2 linked regions of the Oreochromis niloticus genome follow. The protein of the gene in region 2 interacts with the protein of the main gene of each other region in a pairwise test. Links are inferred from orthologs where the notes say so. Each region holds a gene or a part of one and is shown on either strand. Other genes may lie near its edges.

Evidence for each region.
Region 1: the proteins of lmo2 (region 2) and ift43 interact in binary tests that used the Homo sapiens proteins (3 or more experiments, as listed by UniProt). The two-hybrid records come from large-scale screens. The link is inferred for Oreochromis niloticus from reciprocal best matches to the Homo sapiens genes LMO2 and IFT43.

The regions. Positions count from the first base shown.
Region 1 is NC_031983.2:10,401,523-10,411,871, forward strand, and holds the start of ift43 (intraflagellar transport protein 43 homolog), read right to left. Parts: upstream 4,717-10,349; 5' UTR 4,607-4,716; coding exon 4,562-4,606; intron 4,164-4,561; exon of another isoform or gene 4,105-4,163; intron 2,061-4,104; exon of another isoform or gene 2,004-2,060; coding exon of another isoform or gene 1,998-2,003; intron 1,558-1,997; coding exon 1,456-1,557; intron 1,359-1,455; coding exon 1,347-1,358; intron 1-1,346. Other genes in the region: tgfb3 (transforming growth factor beta-3 proprotein), read left to right, coding at 6,209-6,554. UniProt on the Homo sapiens protein: As a component of IFT complex A (IFT-A), a complex required for retrograde ciliary transport and entry into cilia of G protein-coupled receptors (GPCRs), it is involved in ciliogenesis.
Region 2 is NC_031972.2:49,577,444-49,588,073, forward strand, and holds lmo2 (rhombotin-2), read right to left. Parts: upstream 4,941-10,630; 5' UTR 4,489-4,940; coding exon 4,448-4,488; intron 3,454-4,447; coding exon 3,238-3,453; intron 2,235-3,237; coding exon 2,009-2,234; 3' UTR 832-2,008; downstream 1-831. UniProt on the Homo sapiens protein: Acts with TAL1/SCL to regulate red blood cell development. Also acts with LDB1 to maintain erythroid precursors in an immature state.

The sequences.
Region 1 (10,349 bases), on a different chromosome or scaffold from region 2:
TGTCTCTTTAATAGGAACAAAAAAGGGATTACAATTATGGAGGCTTTTTTAGAGCAGCATTTAAACATTTTTTTCACATGACGTGAAATCTCTTTGATGTTTCATATGTGGCATTTCAACAATGGACAATTTTCATAAGGGATGAGATAATAAGGTCAAGTGCATCCTGTGTGCAATAAATGTATCCTGTGGCAGTTATTTCACTCAACAAAAATGGGGAGGACCAAAATAGTCCTGAGAAACAAAACAAAAACTGCGAGCATCCAATTCCTCATGACCAAATATGAAGCTCACAGCTGTAGTAAAATAGTTATGGCTATTACGGCAATTAGCTTAGCCCTTAAGGTTTCTAATTTGGGATTCTATGACGGTCTCTAGGGCGAGGAACTTGTAGTGACCGAACTCTATGAGCCCATAAAAGCAATGAGTCTTTGTTTAAAAGGATGTCAGGAATGTGACCAATCAGTTGGGTATTTAAGGCAGAAGAGAACGGGTTTGATAAACGAAGACTGCAAAAACGCCACCCAGTCGCACGGCACTCTGGAAAAATGTACTGCATGTGCACAGCAGGTCAGAGAGGGCGCGAGAATACCAGTTCATACATTAGGAAAGTTGGCCTAATTTGGGAAGATTAGCCTAAAGCAAGAGCATTGCTGGAATATTTGCTCTGGGAATGCTGGCTGGTTTACAGTTTGCCAATCCAGGAGATGTGACCGATCCTATAAATGCCAACGACAGTGAAGTGATTTGTTGTATTTCAACTGTCACTTATGATCTGTCTTCTTATGATTACATGCAACATGATTCAAGGGCAACAAGAAGCAAACTTTACAATGAAAACTGTGCCATGACTTGAAGTGATTCATGTAAAAAAGGCACTTGTAGAAAGAGAGGATTTATCAGTTGCTGGTAGATACTAAATAAGCCAACTGAAGACGACTACAATGTTTTGTGACTCACAAGGTTAAATGGATTTAGAGTTTATATGAAGTAACACTTCAAACCCTTAATGCAACACATAAGATCCAACATATACAGGCCAACAAATAAAGAGCAGCTATTCTGAGTTTTCTGGAGCACTTTAAAACCTGCTAAAGTAGAAAAACAGCAACTCAAACATCTCATCACCTGCATTATGCACTCCAATCAAACTTTATACCATGTGTGTCAAGCTGGCTCTTCGAGGTGAGCTGTAATTTAAGTCCTATCAAATCTAATCAGATGAACTGAAGTAAACAACTTCATGATAAAAGAAATGTAAGATAACCGGAAATGGTATAAAGTTGATAAGCTGAGCATTAGGACTAGAAGCCATGCAAAGTCATCGCTTAGTTCATGCTACCTACCTCATCATCATCCTGTAATTCATGTATGAGACAAGACCAAAATGCATATTTATGACCTTGTAAATGAATGTTATAACATGCAGAGGTTTATTATCACATGATTGCATACCTCTCCTGCTGAAGCAGAGGTGGAGGACTTCCTTATGTGACGAGTCTCTTCAAACGATGACTGGTGTGCCGCAGGGCGAGCTCTTCGTCCAGACTTGGCAACCTGGGAAATGTGTGTAATTTCAACATGTAAAACCACTGTATGTGACAGACATTGGCACAGTTATTTGTGGTTTACAAAATAATTTGTGGTTTTAATTTCCTTTAACTGTCACATTAAATGTTTTCTGAAAATGGGATGGGAATCAAGAACAGGTTCCAGTTAAAAGGAGGTTCCAAACGGTCTAATTCTCTGGAAACTTCTGCATCCAACCTTATCAATTCCTGGCATGTTTTCTTTTTTCCAACAGCTGCACATTGCTAAACAATGACATCAAACTCATGGAAGTGGAGCTTTTGTACACCTGAGTCATTTGTTTTCCACTCATGCACACATGTAGAGATTTTAAAGATTTGAAATGATGTCAAAAATCTGAAATAGCTGTTTGCTTGTTTTTTTCACAATAACTTCAGAATATTTTACGAAGCCATGAAAACTTTTACCTCCATACTATGAAAACGTCCGGTGGGTCAGTGGTGTAGTGTTTTCAACATTCCCCTAACATCCTGGGAAAAGACACAACCCAGCCTCAGACAGTCATAAGATAAGGATAAATAGGAGGGTTGTGTCAGAAAGGACCGTTTTTTGTAAACTCTGTGCCATATCCCATATGTGGATCCATTCGCTGTAGTACCCACTGGGAATAACCGAGCAGCTAGAAGTACTACACCACTATGAACATTTTACAGGCCCTAGGAGCAAGAAAGCAGGAGAAGGTCAAAATTTGGTGCTTTTAGATTTGGTTTATTCAGCCCTCATGACTTCTTAAGTACAAGAGATGCACAAGAAATTTTCAGGAATAAAAAAAAAAAAAAATACAGTAAGTAATTTTTTGAGATTACAGAAAAAAGACAATGTAGTACATATAAATATACACTGAATAGTGTGTATCCGTGCCTTCCAACAAATTGGTGTGTTTTCATAAACTAAAATAATTAGGTTTGTGGAAGTTGCCACGTTGCCCCACCATCTTGAATACAGTGGCCAAGATGGACATCGCACTTCCGCCTAATTGCTTTTTATGTATGTTGCAGGAGAGTGGCCAAAATGAAAACACCATATAAGACACTTTTAATTTAAAGATCAAAAATAGATCGTTCAAATTATATGTGGCCATTTAACATTTTCACATGTATATTTTTTATATCTTTGTCATTATGTCTTTTCCCGTCATCAGTGCCATCTCTTCTACCTTATTTCCCCTTCTTCCTCCTCACCTCAAGCCTGATCCTCTAACACATGAAAACATGCCAATTTATTCCTAATATTGTCGCAATTACTTACTATCAGAAGATTAGACATGTGACCCTCCCATCTTCAGACCGATGACTGTAGAAAACTGTTTTCTACAGTCATTGCTCCAGACAGCTGACAACAAGCCAGCTAAACAACAACAACAGCTGGATATAAGCTAACATTATGTCAGCTAATGTTAGGCTCAAGTGTCCTTAAAAAAATCACACCTTCCCTCTTGATAGTGGATTATGTACCAATTTGCAATCTACTAATATCTAGTGGTGAGATTTTAAAACACTGTACCTTTAAGCTCTTTTAAAAACAGCGCCCACTCCAAATGTTACAATTGGAAACCAAAATGTTATTTTGGTTCAGCATGACATGATTTCTACAACTTTGAGCATCAATATCTTTCCACAGATCACTGTTTAAATAGCAAAACTCCATCAATGTAATGTCTATGATGTAAAGTAACAGAAACAAAGATAGATTTTTTTTTTTTTTTTTACCTACATTCTGATACCAGGCTCATCTTCTAGCCATAATTCTTCGGTTTCAATATAATCATTTCTTAACACCCCTGTTTAATCTGTTCAAGAAATTAAAACCATGACAATACTGAGTGAAAGACAACTATGAACGGGTGTGGTTTGCATAGCTGCAGAACAAAAACAAGATTTTGGTTTTAGATTGTGAAACTTGGAATGGGTACAAGTGATGTGGCTACAGTTTTTAAAATTGTTTTTCAGCCATGAAAATCGTAAGTGGCTAGCTTCAGATATGTAACAGAGTATGATGGCTCAAACTGCTAGAAAAAAATTAGGAAATAAAAAAACGTCAAATCTCAACCCACACCTTTGTACTTCAAGGACCTGTAACTTGGAAAACATTTACAGCATATAAGCAGAATTTTGCATGGCTTCAATAAATAAAGTTATTAAAACAAAAACAAAACATCTGATTCTGAGGGGTTCAGGAGGGAGGCACCCATTTTCCATGGAGTGACCCATGAAGCTTACATGTTGGAGGAATAAAAAAAAGTAGATTCACAAAGAATACCACCTATATGATTAATAAAAAATTGGATTTACTATCAACAAAAACTTATCAATATCTACATTAGTTCAAAGACACCTAGTATAAATCGAATGAGACATTGTCTTTTTGCCAACTAAAAGTGGTTGGTCTTATTTCAGATTTGAAGTCATGTTTTCTGTGTAGTCTATAGAAATGTGAACGTGTGTGAACCACAAGCACCAACAAAAAGAGATGACTGTATCCCCGAAACATTATCAGGACAGCAGGCATTCTTGCCTTTTATGGAGAAAGTTGGTAGCAGTGGGACCACAGTATGCATGTTTCCTGTACGTTTTCTGAGGGAGTAATGCCAGACACAGAACCAGGTCAGAGTTTACACGAAGCTACCAAAACACTCAGCTATGCTTGTGGGGGAAATTACAGCTAGCATCATCTGTGGCTAACCCAGAAGTTAAAGTTAGCTGAATATGCAGATAAACCTTCCCGCTGCCAGTGCTCAAAAACAGCGAATGACGATGATAATGAGCAGGTAACTGATAGGTTAAACTGGCATATCATTTACTGACTGGCTATTACTGAAGCTCGCATTAGCGAAACAGAAAGCTAATTAGCTAACTAGCATCGCTGCACCGTTATACAGTGCCCTCAACTCATCCAGAATAGCTCAGAATTAATGCTACTTTCCTCCCATTACCTTGCCATGTGCATTTTAATGATATAACAACCTACTTACATTTCTTGCCATTCCACCATTGCCTTGTTGGAAATTATCGTCCATTTTTTTCTCCTACCAGCTAGTTCACCTTCTTCCTGGATACCACCAGGCGTCACACAGCAACGCTCTCCATGGTAACGCAAGTCAGGAGGAAAGTGCCTTTGGACCGCCCCAAATATCGTTAGTAAGTAAACAAACAAATAAATAGATGCGTGTATTGATATTGATAGGGAATCTGCTATAGCGCCCATGCTGCTCGTTTGTATGTGAGTACGAATATTAGGTAATGATATCAATGTTTCCTTGTTCTACTGGAGCTCCCCAGACATTACTGTTGAATAAATAAGACGCCTACTCCGAACATCTGCCCCATTTTTCTTTCTGATTTAATGGTGAATCAACAGATAATTATGGTGTGTCCAAAAAAAAAAAAAAAAATCCTTGGATAATTACGTCCAGAAATACAAACAAACAGGCAAAAATATACATATATATTTTTTTTAAACTCATAATATGAATTCATTTTTTAAGAGTAAAAATTACATTACTGAAGAAAAACAGGAGGTATTGTTGTCGCTTTTTATTTTATATTTATGTTGTTTGTTTCTTTGTTTTGTTGTTGTTGTTTTCTAAATGGATAAAGTGATACTCTTGTTCTCAGCGCAAAATATCTAATTTGAGAAAGCAGGCAAAAAATAAAGATGAAATCAAATTGTACCTTCAATTCCCTGCGTGGTCCGCGAGATGTCGCTGTCTCCTTTCATTATGATACTGGGGAGGCGCTGAACGGTAGCAGCCTGCAGAGGACCGCGTGCTGCTGGCTTGCGCACCCTCAGAAGTTCTGCATGTTAACTTTGAACTTTACTTCATTAGCACTTTATTTTGCCCACGATTAAAAAATATTCAGCACGTAAACCTCTCCAGGTTTAGATTTTTAAACTGCTAGGAGCGCGCGTGGGGCACACAACAGAACGTGACTTAATTTCAGCCACATCCATAAAATGCAGCTATTTACTTGACAAACTATTGCAACCCTTCTCTCTTGCGAAATCTTATTGCCCAATATTACGCTGCGTATGATTCAAACACTGTTTGGCAGCATGAAATTCAAAGTCTTATTTATCTTACTACGGAGTGGGACCGAGCACATTGTCCGCGCTCGGTCTATAGCTCGCGGCCCCTCCCTCAGAAACGTCACCGATGGTGGGTATAAAGTATGAGTGAGCGTGGAAAGCGTCTTTAGTGTGTTTGAGGTTGGACTGCAAGAAGACAACAAAGACGCACTGACTCCTTATACATATTTGCACAAGTGGATGGAAAGACCAAATGCAATGGAGCAACTAAACGGCGGTGCAGAGATCGGGCCCCTGTAAACTACAAAGAAAAAGAGAGGGGGAGAGATGCCTGAATGAGACAAGAGGGAATGAAGAGTGTAATTAAGAGTTTTGTTGAAGAGTCGAGACCTTTTTGCACAATTGCGCGGATTCGCTCCCATGCAAATACGCATTTGGCAAAGATGACATAGCACTCGAGAAAATGGGATTCCTCCAGGAACAGTACTCACTCGCGACCTGAATGAAAAGATAAAAAGGGATATTTTTTTTCTTCTCCTTCTTCTAATATTACTTGACAAGGCTTCGGCTGTGAGCGAACGCAGATTGAAATATGAATCTGGGCAAAGCACTTCTGTTTTTCCTCCTCTCAAACTGTGTGACAGTGACTTTCTTGCTATCCACTTGCACCACAGTGGACATCAAACACATAAAGAAAAAGAGAGTGGAGGCCGTCCGGGGACAGATTCTCAGTAAACTCCGACTGACCAGTCCGCCTCAAACAACAGGTCCAAGTCAAGTACCGTTTCAGGTTCTGGCACTTTATAACAGCACCAAGGAGCTCATTGAGGAGCTGGGGAAAGACCGGCAGCAGAGTTGCGGACAGGATAACACGGAGACAGAGTACTACGCCAAAGAGATTTACAAGTTCAACATGATCAATGGGCCACAAGAAAACAGTGAGTGTACTGTTTTTGGGTTATGAATGTTCCCATTTTTCTTTTATAAGCCAATAAAGTAGAAACTCTTCCTGTTCTAGGTGCAGGTGAGTAATTGTGGTTTATTTTGAACTTTAAAGAAGAGTTGATGACCACACTCAATCCCAAACGCAAACGCTTTTTATCTTTGCCACGATGTCAAACCTAATCATTACGCGAGGTTACAAGGGGGGGAAAAGTGAAAGACAAATATTTTTTTCCGGTTGGTGTGAAAGTCCATTCTTCTCTGTGCGGCTTTTTACGCGCAGACGCTCCGTGGCGTCGCGCAGAGGAAAGGGCAAAGTAAACAGTCTAATTGGAATGAGCACAATTCCTCATGCATACCTCACACCAAATCCATGGGAACCCCAGCCTTAGTCTGACACATTCCTAAGCGAGGAAAATTCTCAGGCTGTTAAATCTGCTATTTATTGCCAACTCCAATACCTCATTTCCATTTTTCTGGCCGTGAGATCCCCAATATTTTTTCTTCCACTGTCACTCACTTCTATCCCCCCCCCCCCGCTCCCCGCTATTTCCTTCAAGTAGCTCCGCGTTATGATCTAATTCCCTCGTTCATCCATATTGGTATTTCCTGTATAAACTATGGCCCATTGATTGTTCCAGAAATCAGAAGCAGAAGCCCGCTGAGCTGCAGATTCTCCAGAGAAAGCCTAAGTGGAGCAGTTGGATTGGTGCCCACTCACGGTCAGAGGCCGGTTAGCGCACGGTGTAGTGATTCTGAAATCAACAGGTGTTTGTGCAATGCTGTGACGCTGAGCAGAACCTCTGCTGGTTCCAGCATAAGCCCTGAATCAAATCCATTTCACAGGTCCCACAAAGTGCTTCTGACATTCAAAATACACAGCTCGGGGTTTATCCACTGGTCAGAGGTAGTCAGAGCTCCCAAAACAAACAGAGGTCTAAGGAGTGGGATCAGTGATGGCCAGGTGCCCAGGACACATCACTGGTCTCACGCCGTGGGCCATAATGTAGGTGATAATACGAGACATGAACACACTGGCAGCACTTTCTTCCCAAACAGCTTACTTACTCACAGATTGTTTAAATTAACAGAAGGTGCCACATGCATTAATTAGCAGTCTTCTCTTCCTTTCCATTATGTAATTTTAAGGAGAGCTGGGCATGTTGCAGTACGCAGAAACATAATGTCTGTCACCTTGGTATTTCTGCTGTGTAGTTCATTTTCATTCCTGCTGAATCTAATGAGTTTTGCATTCGCCGCTTTTTGGAAGGTGGGAGTGTTTGGGGAAAAAAGTCAAGTTTGGCTTTTTTCCGTGCTTAGTTAGGAAGTTAAACAGAAACCTCTCACACACTCTTTAATGCGACGCATGCACCCAGACTGCTTTGCTAGACACTACTGCGAATGCAATGCGATGCAATTCAAAGCTTTGACCCATTTATGAGCAGATGAAACAAAACTGAGTGAGAACAGGAATTTGGAGCTTCCTTTCCTTTTCTTTTTCCTGGTGCATCACAAGGCCAGTGTGAATAGTGCCGCTGAGGAAATTAGATAAAGACATATTTGAACTGAGGGGCGACCTGTAACACAATAACAGTTTAAGAGTCTACTGACTGGCCTTGACTAGCTCATTGGAGCGTGCAGCCTCAGTGAAATTTCAAGCCAATCATTGACTCAGTGTTAGGTCAGTAGAAAAAAAATGAGGACCAGCTCTGAGGACAGCAGTGTCTGATATATGGGATAGTAGAAAGATGATGTCATCTGTACAAACAGAGACAGAGGTCTTTGGTCTGCTTCCAAAGAAACAGCATCGCTCCATCGAACTCCCACGCCTTTACCATTTTTGCTTCCTCATCTTCAATCCAGTAGGAGGAGAGTGGGGGGGAAGGGGAGGGGGTGTCGTCATTCATTGCATTGTTTCCTCCACACTGCCATAGCTGATATCTGCAGTCCGATGTAGATATGGACTTGTTTCTGATGAAAAGCAACGTTTGAATTTGGTACACTAAACCCTCAGCTAACTGGGGAGGGGAAATCAAACTTTTCCATTAGAGCATGATGCAAATTCACATCCCAGATGCGGCAATTTCAGGAAAATAATAAGAGAACTCCAGCTAATGCAATTTCTGTTCTGCTTTATGAGATTTAGACACCGCAGCAGCTGGCTAGCACCTGCTGACTTGTGCTTTCTGTTTCCTTTGTTTACGTCCACAAAGCTGTGGAGAGACTGACATCACAAGTATCCTCTGGGCAAAAGAGCAAAGAGAGGTGATTCCTTAGAGCTTCATTCCGGGAGCTTCCGTGTCATGGAGAGGATTCCAGACACCGGAGGCTGAACGCGTGTCAGGAGCTGAGGTGTGGTCGATAGCGTCTGGGCGAGGCAGCAGCAACTATTCAAATGTCTGTCTTCGGGCATTTTGGACAACTTTAATCCCTAATCCCTCCTTTGAAACCCATATGTTCAAATTAATTGGGTGATAATGCGAGAATGGAGTCAGGCGGGCATCATTTTGTTATCCAGGTTTTTTTTAAGTGTGACTATAAATACACTTTTGCAGACGTGTTAATGACAGCCTCTCCCAATAAAACTCAAAATAAGCATGCTCTGACCTTAGAGCAGTGTGCTATTTTACAAAATCTTTAGAAATAACATCAGAAGTCGTTTTAATTACTTATACAGTGTTTAAAATATAGAGTATTGCTTTGTTTGGCATGGAAAACTATACACCTTGATTTTTTTACTAGTAGAAATTAAACTCTGGAGAAGCTTATTGACATAACCTGTGCCGTGTCAAACAGTTAATACATTAAGCTTGTGTCAGCATCCTGATACTCAGTCTTAAACCCTATCATCTAAAAATGGACGGGGGAGTCGAGAGTGGTGGTCAAATCAATTTGTGACTGTATCTCATTTTAATTATACAAGCAATCCCCTTCCACTCACCAACATGGAACAAATTACCTTTCAGACCCTTGGCAAAAATAAGCCATAATGTGAAATCCACCTAAAACCATTGCAATGGGAAAAATGAGGTCATCCAAAAGGAAACCAAAGACTTGATTAGAATTTCAAATCTCCCCTCGAAGTGGGGCTTTCCACCTTCTGTGGGGGAGACGGAGCAGTGAGTGAGTGAGGGGAGGAAAAGGGCTACTGAGGTTTCCTCCTTATAGATTGTGTGGAAACGCTGGACAGATATCTGGCTGGGGACAAATGCTGAAAGGTCAAACTATAAATAGGGAAAGCTGAAATAAAATCAAAAAGAAAAAAAAAACTTTGTGGAAATATCAGATAAAATTACCTTTCAGACCCTTGGCAAAAATAAGCCATAATGTGAAATCCACTAAAACATTGCATGGGAAAAATGAGTCATCCAAAAGGAAACCAAAGACTTGATTAGAATTTCAATCTCCCCGAAGTGGGGCTTTCCACCTTCTGTGGGAGACGGAGCAGTGAGTGAGTGAGGGAGGAAAGGACTGAGGTTAATGACAGATATCTGGGGACAACTGAAATAACATAAAAAGCTGAATAAATCAAAGAAAAAAAACTTTGTGGAAATATCAGATAATGACTGGGAGGACACTGAAATAGGATTATGGGTCAAATGAAGTACAGATACTCGGAGATGTGCAAGTTCCTTTTGCATGACACAGAAAACGGCCTCACTTCTGAGTTTCCATTTGTCCCAAATCTGCTCGAGGTGCAAATCAGCTAAAGGTGCAGTGCCCCTTTCAGCCATCAGCAAATCCGAGGCTTTGGTAATAAAGCTTAAGCTTGAAGTAATAAATTAGCCATG
Region 2 (10,630 bases):
CTGTGTCCCAGCTTTGAAGACAGACAGTGAGAGTAAGGAAGGGATTGAGCATTACAGCCCCAGACATCATGACTTCATTAGAAGATTCTTCTATTTCTGTCTCTTGGATTCATCGATCATGTCAGTGGAGTTTGATCTTATTGGGGAGCTCTCCTTCTCCTTGGCAAAAAACCCCCTAAACAAACTCAATTGTCATTATTTTAAGCTTGAATTTATAAATCATTTAGTGACCTCTTGTGGCTAAAAACTGGGTTGAAGAATTGGTATCTGTTTACTTAGTTGCCAAATCCTTCGATTTACGCCTCTAACAAGCTTGATAAAACAAGCTTTTAATCGGATTTATTGCAACTTCACTCTGCTTTCAGCTTCTGAGATGTTGTGTACAAAATATTGATCATAATAAGAAATACATTAACTTAACATCTATTACTCAAGCTGATTATAGTTTAATGTTTGCGTTTGATTTTTAAGCAGTTATAGTCATGACTCCGCTTAACCTATCAGGATGCAAACAACACAGATGAAGCTGGTTTTCATTTTCTCTGTTGTTCAAAGTGGTACTTCAATTCTCTGCTTCTTGTGTTTACATTCTAGATAACTTCCAAGCATGTTTGTTTTACTTTTGCTGTGACCAATGTGCAGTATATATTTCAACTCTGATTTGCCATTCCTGCTCGGAGCATAAAAAGAGATTATCTTGACCATAATTAACGTATTATTTGTGGTTATTCTGGTAAATAAAATGTTACAAATTGTATCTGCATCAATATTTCACAAGCTGTTTGACTTTTTCTTTGTGACTGCCAGGAAGACACCCAAAGATGATCAGTATTGCTCTGAATTGTCATTTATTAAATAAATTCAAGGTTAATATACAAAAAGTCTTGAATGGATGTCCAGGGAACAGGTAAAATTACAAAAGATGCATGCAAAACCTCTGCAAAGTCAGTAAAACAAGAATTGCATGGGTTCCTTGACCAGTAGAGGGCGCCACCAGTTCAACCTGGCAATACATAATCATTCTCATCAGAACTTTTTTTTTTTTTTGTTAAATAAGTGGATGTTGTTTTTCATAATATGAAAATCAGGTAATGCTTTAATCACAGGTCTGTAATTTCCTAATAAATTCTCACAAATTTTCATGAAAACTTTCAGAAACGATCACAGCATACATCCACTTCATTCATTCCACCTCATTTCTAGTGAAACAGCCAATGCAGCAGGCCATTTGAGCATTTTAAATCTGTCCACAGGCAAACAATCACTTTAAGAGAGTGTTTTACAAACTGTCAAGTGGACCTCGGTTGTGTGTGGAAAAATATCAACTAAATTTAAGTTGAATGAATTGGTACGCTATAATGATGACTTGAATTTGATTTAAATTCAGCTTCGATGCTTGTTTCGTTAATGTTTCATAAAAATATGAAGAAATATATGTTAGTGGAAGTGATAAGGTGGGTGATCTCTTCTCAGCTTCTTACTGGAGGCATGCAAAATAAAGCCCGACAACCACTGCTTTAACATATTACAGTTACAATGAACAAGCATTCAGTTAATGTATGTTTAGATTTAGAGAGAGACACATTCTTTTAACAAAGTTAAAAAATAATTAGCGCTGGGAAAGTATTAAGAAATTACAAATCCATAAAACCAAGCTGCTGATCTTCTCAGTGTAAAGACTGCAAGAAACTGGACAAATAATTTTTATCTTGTTTTTGTTCTAAAGTTCCAGTGTACAACAAATGACCAATATTGCATTTTTAAACATTGTCAGTATTGGAGCATTTATTTTTTTTGCTTTCAATAAAAAAAGCTCTCTGTTATTGCTGGTGCAGTCTTCATTAGTCCCCATCAGGGAGACATGCAGAGACGTAGCCCCTCGTTTGCTTTTTGTTTTTTTTTTATGATCCCATATTGGTTTCAAATGCATTATAAAGCCTGCATTGGAAATACGAAATGTCTATCAGTAGTCCATTCCCTTTGAATCAAGGGGAAAGAAGACATCCTCCTAAACCATATTATTATTGTTGAGCTTGGTCCACTCAAAGATGTCCTGCTCGCACACAATGTCTGAGTTGATGAGAAGGTAACGATCACCCACGCAGAAGTGCTTCTGGCAGGCAGCGCACTTGAAGCACTCCAGATGGTAAACCTTGTCCCGCACACGCATCGTCATCTCGAATGCTCGGATCCTCTTTTCACAGGAAGCGCAGAGACCGTCCTGGCCAAAAAGCCTGAGTGGATGAGAGGGCATCAACATGTTACTGGGAGGAAGATGGAAAACATTTACTCGCTCTTAATGATGTGAAGCTGTAAGAGAGACTGACAGTATCTCCATTAAGGTACTCTGGATCTTTCCCCTGAGCCTGAGGGATTGAGCTGTTAGAGAGGAAATTAGCCATCACCAGTGCTTCACAGACTTTTTCTATCCTGCTCTTCTTCAGAAGCTGAAAATGTCACACAACCACCCACGATTTTTAGCAATTATTAGCAATAATAAATGGATCAGAGCTGAATTTCTGGGAAATGGTGCAAAAGTATAGAAGGACTGCATTACCTGCTTCTTGTTTGTTTATTTTACACATAAGTTCTACAGATTTGCTTTACTTTCGGTCCATATTTTTCACCAAGTCATCCACACCCCCTCATGCAGTGGCACTACACGCCAGCAGGGGGACCCAGCACACAGTTTGAAAACCACTGAGCAACACAAACTTCATTTTGCAATAAATAAAGCGGAAATGCATTGTCATTAAAGCAACACATATCCTTAAAGTGGTGATGCAGGGCATTCACAAGCCAGGTCCGATCATACAGGTTCGGCCACTGATTGATACTACATATTTGAGAGGAGTACCCCAGTGCATCTGCCTGAGTTTGTATCTCAGGCAGAGATAGGTTAGGTAAATGTGTTTACCTGATATGTGGCTGTGCACCACACAGCTACATATCATATCAAATTTTAACATTAGTTCTTTAACAAAGACCTGCCTTCTTCTCCTGAATCTATTTCAACTTGTCCACACTTTCTTCAGTAAAAAAGTTACAGGTAGAAATAGGTTAGAAATTTCTATACTTGCTCAAAGTGTTTCTCCATGAGCCTTTAAGGTGTGATAAAAGATATACATACTAGTGCATCTCAAAAAGTGCTTCTTTTTCTGTGTGTAATTTAACTAAAAGGGTGACGACCTAATTGATTAATTCATAATATCACTACATTACACCAACTGAACCAACCTGAGGTAATCTCTCCGACACAGTTTTCTTCCCAGCTTGTAGTAGAGCCGGCGGCCCACCTCCCCCAACCGACAGCCACACAGATCACAGCTCAGGCAGTCCTCGTGCCAGTACTGCTCGATGGCCTTCAGGAAGAATCTGTCACCAATGCTCTGCTGACATCCACCGCATGTCAGCAGAGATGGAGGCATCTGGAGGACCTCATCCACCGGTTCCCTGGAAAAAGAAAAAAAAGCAATAAGGATTTAGGGCAGCATCAAATTTTTGTTTCCTTCATCAGTTAATCTGCAAAGGTTTCCCTCAGTTGTGTGATTGGTTAGTTAGTCAGTGTGACATGCAGGTCTCCCAAACAGTTTGCTAACTGATGAATCAAATACTGGAATAGAACTGTTCTAGCTCTGACACATACTTACTGGTGACCTGTTGATATTTTGCTATTATTATGCAATAAACAAACATTTCCTGATCTAAAGGCACAGTTAGTGTTCTGCATCAATATTCACACTGTGTTGTATCTAATAAGTGCTACACAAACACATGTATATCTTTTCTAATGATTTCAGCTTTGATCGGTCTCTGAGCTGGAGCTGTGTGCGCAGATGTGTTTTATTCCCGTCCACCTGAGGGAGCCATTGGATATTAAACCGCTAACTAATAAAAAGTATGTCACACAATATTGGGTTGTTTTTTTTAAATGTCGATTTACGCTAGGAGTGCCTTAGCGCTCCACTTTTTCTTAACTTTTTCCTCGCAAGACCGATTAACCGATTCGCACTACAACCTGGTTTGCCTCTTATCTATAGTTATTTATATTTAATTTAATAACTGTACAGTACTCTCTGTATATAGTAACCATTGTCCTTAATGTAAATATGTAAGAAAAATTGTGTATGTTTCTGTTCTGTGTCCTGTGTACTGTTTGTTTGTATATGTGTCTTTTTGGCTGCTGTTACAACCAAATTTCCCCTTGTGGGACAATTAAAGGATTATTCTATTCTATTCTATTCTATTCTATTAACATTAACACATCACTCTGTTCTTAAACTTTGACATTTTTAATCTAACAGCAGGAGACTTCAGACCTTATGCTACCAGCTTTCTGCAGCTGTCTCACCGGAGAGTTGTGGCTGTCCCGTGAGTGCTGATGCGTCACGGATACTTTTACTTGAATCAGAAATGACATTATTTAACATCATTCATTGCTACTTACTCGCTGGCCTCCAGCGTCTTCCTCTCTATCGTGGATGTCATTCTTCAAAGATGATGTCCAGCCTGGTCCACTGGCCAGCAAGCTCAGTGGGGACCCGCGAGGCGAAGCTGCGTGCGGGCGCTGCACCTGCTCCACCTCTGGGGCACCACCAGCACCACCAGCAGCCCGCGTCAGGCTTTCAAACGTGTTCAATCGAAGGCAGCTGAGTCCAGACGAAATGGCCGCAAGACGAGAAGTGTTCGCTTTAAGCGGCTAAGCCGTGATGGAGGACACTGTCATCATTTCCTGAGGCAGTGACCCGCGGAGAGACTTCGCGTCTTTTTTTCCAAGTGTGTCTCCTCACCCCGCAGGGACTTTGCTGCCTGTCCGCTCTTTATTAAAATGCACACGCCGTGTGATGCGATCAGAAGGTCACTTACGTGGCTCTCCGTGTTCGTGCCTTTTCATAGGCGTGCGAACCCACATGAAGCCGCGGGCACCGTTATTGTGCAGTAGCAGCAGCATCGTGTTTTAAATACACCCCCCCCACCCCTCCCCGCGCGCCCTTCCCCTCCTCACACCCCCTCTCTCTCGCTAGTCAGGCTGTGCTTTCGTTTCCCTCTTCCTGCTCACGACTGTTTGACAATGGGGGGAAATCGGTCTTAAAGCGACAGCTTAACACGGCCTTGCTCTGTCAGGCGTGGAGTGGGTCGTGACTGAGGCTAATGATTATTATGCTTTGCTTCGCCAGAGTGCAGATAAGACGAAAGATAAAGAGTGGCACGGTCTAATTCTTTGGGGAGGAGTATTTGTGTTTTCTCTCATAATTATGCCCCAGGTGTTGCCGGTTCTAAAAGGTTCTGACGGTCACTTTCTGTAAGGGTTCAGACGATGATGGTTATCACTGCGTTAAGTAATGTGAACTTGAATTCAGTGGATTTATTATATTATACTTAGAAAAAAATTCCAAGGACTTCATTTTACTTCCTAAAATGTGATTTTATATTTTAGAGGTCCTACATAAACACACAGCTGAAAACACAATTGCCAGGGCCTTTTCAGACAACCAGGGAAGTCCCTTACTTTTTATTTTTATTTTTGTTGCGTAACTTCTCTGTAATGTAATCTTAGATCACTGATTATGCACAAGAGTATTTTCAGACAGTTTGAGCAATAACTTTGCATCACATATCTTCTAAACTAATAATTTTTAGGTTAATTGGCGTGGCTGTAGTTTAGGAGGTACAGCAGGTCACCTACTAATTGGTCCGATCCCTGGCTGCTCCGGTCTGCATGCCAGATTATCCTTGGGCAAGATCCTGAACCCGAAGTTGCTCTCGAAAAGTGAGGAAAAGCACTTAAGTGTAGAAAAAAAAGTGCTTGTATGAAGCACTATATAAGTAGCAGTCCATCCACCAGTTAACTCACTAGTAATTACTTTAATGTTAATATTTCCATCTGACGTTTTAACAATTATGTCAACAGTAAAATTCTGATATGTGTACTTGCTGATTCTTTACACAAAGCTCAGAGAAATTGTGAAGCTGGAGGAAGATATGATTAAGCTGTGCTTAGAAATAATCCAAAAAAAAAGAGCTTGTGAAAGCTGCCTCTGTGGGGAATTAATGCATTGATATTTCTACATAGTTGGTGTCCTCATGGCTTTTCCTTTTCAAACCAGAGCTGCTGTGGGCCCTTCTCTTATCTACTGCCAGTGCCTCAGGGCCGCCTGTAGGAGGGAGGGACACCGACAGCAGTCTGACTGGACAGGGAAGATAAAGCACCTAAACTCCAGCACCCAGAATCAGTTCTGCAGCCAAATGTAACAGAAAAAGATCACAGGCGAACTCTAAGATGAAGGCTGAAAGCATCCTTGGGCCACACAGTTGGAGAGCTGAGTAGACTCACTGGATTGATACCAAGCTGAGAAAGCCCAGGAGCAAGGTGAGCATGGCTGTTGTGTGCCAGCTACGCAGAAAGCAGAGCAGCTTGACAGAGATAAAACTCAAACTACAAATCCTTCAGATGAGAAACACGTTCAGATTTTGTACAACACAATAACACAATGAAGGGACCATTTTGACTATAGTGACTTTAATCTTCACTAAATAAAAATGTCATGCAGTTAATCCCTCTTGCTTATATACAGTGCGGGAAATCATTATTTTATCCCCTGTAGATTTTGTAAGTTTGCTCACTTACAAAGAAATGAACAGTCTCTAATGTTTGTGGCAGTTTCATTTTGATAGAGAGACAGAATATAGAACAAAAATCCAGGTTGGTTCCCACAGATTGACTGCTTGCCATGTGGCACATAAACTACAATCAGTCAATCAATTACAGATAATCCTGATCTCAACTTATTATGTATACAAAGCACAACTATCCACTGAATCATTTTTTTTTCCATTCCAAGACCAAAAATCTGGCAAAGGATGTCAGGGACAAAAATTTAGTCCTGCATTAGGCTGAAATGAGCCACATGACCATCAGCAAGAAGCTTGGTGAGTAGATAACAACTGTTGATGTGACTATTCAGAAATGGAAGAAATATAAAATGAGCATCGATCTGGAGCTCCATGCAAGATCTTGCCTCAAGGGGTGAGGATGATCATGATAAAGGTTGTGGATCAGCCAAAAACTACACGCGAGGAGATTGTTAATGATCGGAAGCAAGTCGGGACCACAGTCAGAACACCATTGTCAACACACTACACTATAATGGATTGAAATCTTTCACCCGCAAGAGAAGTCTTGGGAGAAAGAGCTGTGGTCAAATGAAACAAAATCAAGCTCTTTGGCATCAAGTCAACCAGCCATGTTTGTAGGAAGAGAAGTGAGTATGACCCAAAGAACACCATCGTCACAGTCAGGCATGGAGGTGGAAACATTATGCATTGGGTTTATTTTTCTGCTAAGGGTACAAGGCAACTTCACTGCATTGAGGAGCAAATGTATAGGAGCATGTACTATAAAATCCTGGACAACAACCTCCTTTCCTCAGCCGGAACACAGAAGATATGCTGTGGATGTGTCTTCCAGCATGACAATGACCCAAAGAGATCACCAAGGTAATGAAGGAGTGGCTAAAGAAGAAGCATGTTAACATCTTTGAGTGGTCTAGCTAGTCTTTAGGCCTCAATCCTATAGAAATTCTGTGGAAAGACCTGAAGTTTAAAGTTTCTAAGCAGCAGCAACGAAACCTAAAGTATTTAGATAGTTTATGTAAAGACTAGTGGGCCAAAATCCCTCCTCAGATGTGTGCAAACCTGACCAACTACAAGAAATATCTTAGTGCTGTTTGCAACAACAATTTCTCCACCAAGTATTAAGTCAAGTTTTTCTTTCTTTCTGGATGTTTGGTCGACATTCTGTCTCTCTCCATTAAAATAAAGCTACCATAAAAAATAAAGACTGATCATTTCTTTGGAAGTGAGCAAACTTACAAATTCAGCAGGGGATCAAGTAAGTATTTCACCCATATGAACAATGCAATTTTCCCTTGGTATTGTAATCAAATGATTTGCACTATTCTTGAGCTTTCAATGATGTCAAATAATCAAATAATGAATTAAATAGCTAAAGTTTTATTGACTGAGTGCCAATTTACGGTGCCACATATCAACAGTTTCATTTAGCACTGACTGTGCTAAATGGTGGTGGTTTGTAATAGTCTTTTTTAGTTTTTGGTATTTTAACTTTCTCCTCTCTGAAACAATCAAACAAAGGAAATATTGAGGCTCACAATCAATGCTACCCATGAATACATGTGTAGTGATAATATTTGAATCCTTCCAGATTGCCACGTTGCATGAACACAAAGCACATGAACAAATTCATGACAGATGAGAAACACAAGAGAGAATACAAAATCAGCACTGACATGACACAAGTCATCCACTACTTCCTGTGGAGTTGACTGAGAGAGCCCAGAGGATGTTCAAACTGGCATGCAGAGATGAAGCTTTCCTGAAGGGTTGGTGCACATTGCATTCACTTCCTACCCCCCTACATGCACGATGGCACCCTTCTCATGGTTTCCCAGATAGACTGCTAGACTCCAGATGGCTCGGGGTGATAGGAGAAAGTATTCTCATAGACAACTCGAGGCTGTTGTGACTGGGTGGTAAAACCCATATCTCTGTTCTAACGCTTCTTAAATGCCACCAGAAAGGAGCTGCACTTTACTGTAGATCTGACATCCATGTGTCACCCTACTTCTGTAATAAAACTGAAAGGCGGGGGATTTTCACACTTCATGCTTTGAACTTTATAGCATTTAAAATAAGGGCAATAGTGACCTTTTATGTGAAATGTGGTTTGCTATTTTCAGCTTTTATTCCTCTCTGGGGTACAAGTTGGGGAGCAAACAGTTAAGAGTGTAGACAACCTTTAGGGAAGTGCATGTCCAACTTCCTGTTTTGCCTGTTTTGTACTGAGAGCATTATGGAGTTGAAAGCAGTGTGGAATGTCGGGGGGAAAAAAAACATTGCTGCTAAGCAAACAGTAAAATCATACAGAAGCTAATCATTTCAGCAAAGAATGGGAATTTATTTCCCAAGAAATAAAATATTGAAAGTTCTTGCAGGCAAATTTCCCAAAGTAAAAGACTATGGACATGGTGTTGACTCTACGATTGTGCAAACTCTGGAACAGCATCAGTAAAAACAACTACTTCCTGTCCAATCTAAAGTGAAATGATAGCTAGCTCCGGTTTAGCACACCCCTCCTAAACAGCAAAAGGTCTAGAAATGTTTTATTGTTTACCGGCACCACAAAGGTCCAAACTGAGTTGTGCTTTTAACCTAAAAAGCTTTGTTGTAAAGGTCAGAGGTCAGATGAGGACCCACCCTAGAATTCTACTAGAAAACGGCTGGTCAGTCGTTGTTCGATTGAAATATAGCAGGCTGCGGAAATGAGTCACTGAAAGGGAGCTTCATTTACTCTTGGGATCCTCCCATAATCACTATTATCCTAAAAGAAAACACTTTTAGTGGAACATTGCAATCAAAAAGCTGTGCAGACATGTTAACTGCTTCCTGTATTTGGCAAAACAACAGAAAGCTGGCTACACATTCTTTTCAATAGTCTCCTGGTAAGTTTGACTGTCAAGCTGGTAAGTAACTTACATGGAAACTGTGTTTTAATGTAAAAATAAAATCCCAATTGTTTTTTTTAAATTCTGCTAATCAAGTCAATTTGTTTGTTAGCGTGAGTCCTTTATCCTCATTTATAAATAAAAACTACATTTTTAAAGATTTGAAGTCTGAGTAATTACATTTATTAAAAACTGGTCAACATATTTCCATGTAAGGGAAGAGTGAAATTTTCACTTCAGTCCCGCATCAATATTTGTTGATCATATACTGACCTTTACTGCCACCTGGTGATAAGTAACTAAAATTATCTTTGATTGAACATGTCAGCACTATAAGATCGTTGCTGCCGTTGTTAGAATCTATTTGTTTAGGTGCTTGTAGAACTAGACACTATTATTCTAAAATGGATAAAAGTAAAATAGAGATATTAACTTAAATTCTGTTTTTTCATATAAAAAATGCATTGCAGGTTTTAGACCTTGGAATCATGACAAAAGAGGTGCAGGATATTCCATCTGTCCATTTTCATCCACTTATCCAATCTAGGGTCACAGAGGACAGAAGCCTATCCCAGCTTTGGCAGGGTACACCCTGGACAGGTCACCATTCCATCACAATGAGGCTGTAAATGTTCTCAAATAATTCCTCAGGATTGTTTTTTAAGATGATTTCTAATTTTAAGTTCTTGAAAATATAACACAAACATATCATTCCTGTTGTTATAGCCATCATAGCTCTCTAGCTAGCTGCCAGCTTTTAAGTTTAAGTCTCCAAAGCATGCTGCTGGGCAACACTTTTATTTGGACATTGGCTAGTTTTTCACTTATGTTCAGTCCAGTCCTTATACCGCACCATTTTCAGAGGATTTTTTTTATGTTTTGTTTTGGGCTTTTTTTGTTAGTTTTTTGTTAAGCCATTTGTTAATGAACCATGAATCATTCAAGCATAAAAAGGCACCTAACTCAAGGGATGAACCATTGTTGTGTATACATATAACAAACACCTAGCACATTATTTTTTTCCCCATTTGTTTGGTTAAATCTATAAAAAAATACCAAAAGTAACACACAGGTGTAAGGTAGTATATTTGCACTAACCCAAAGAG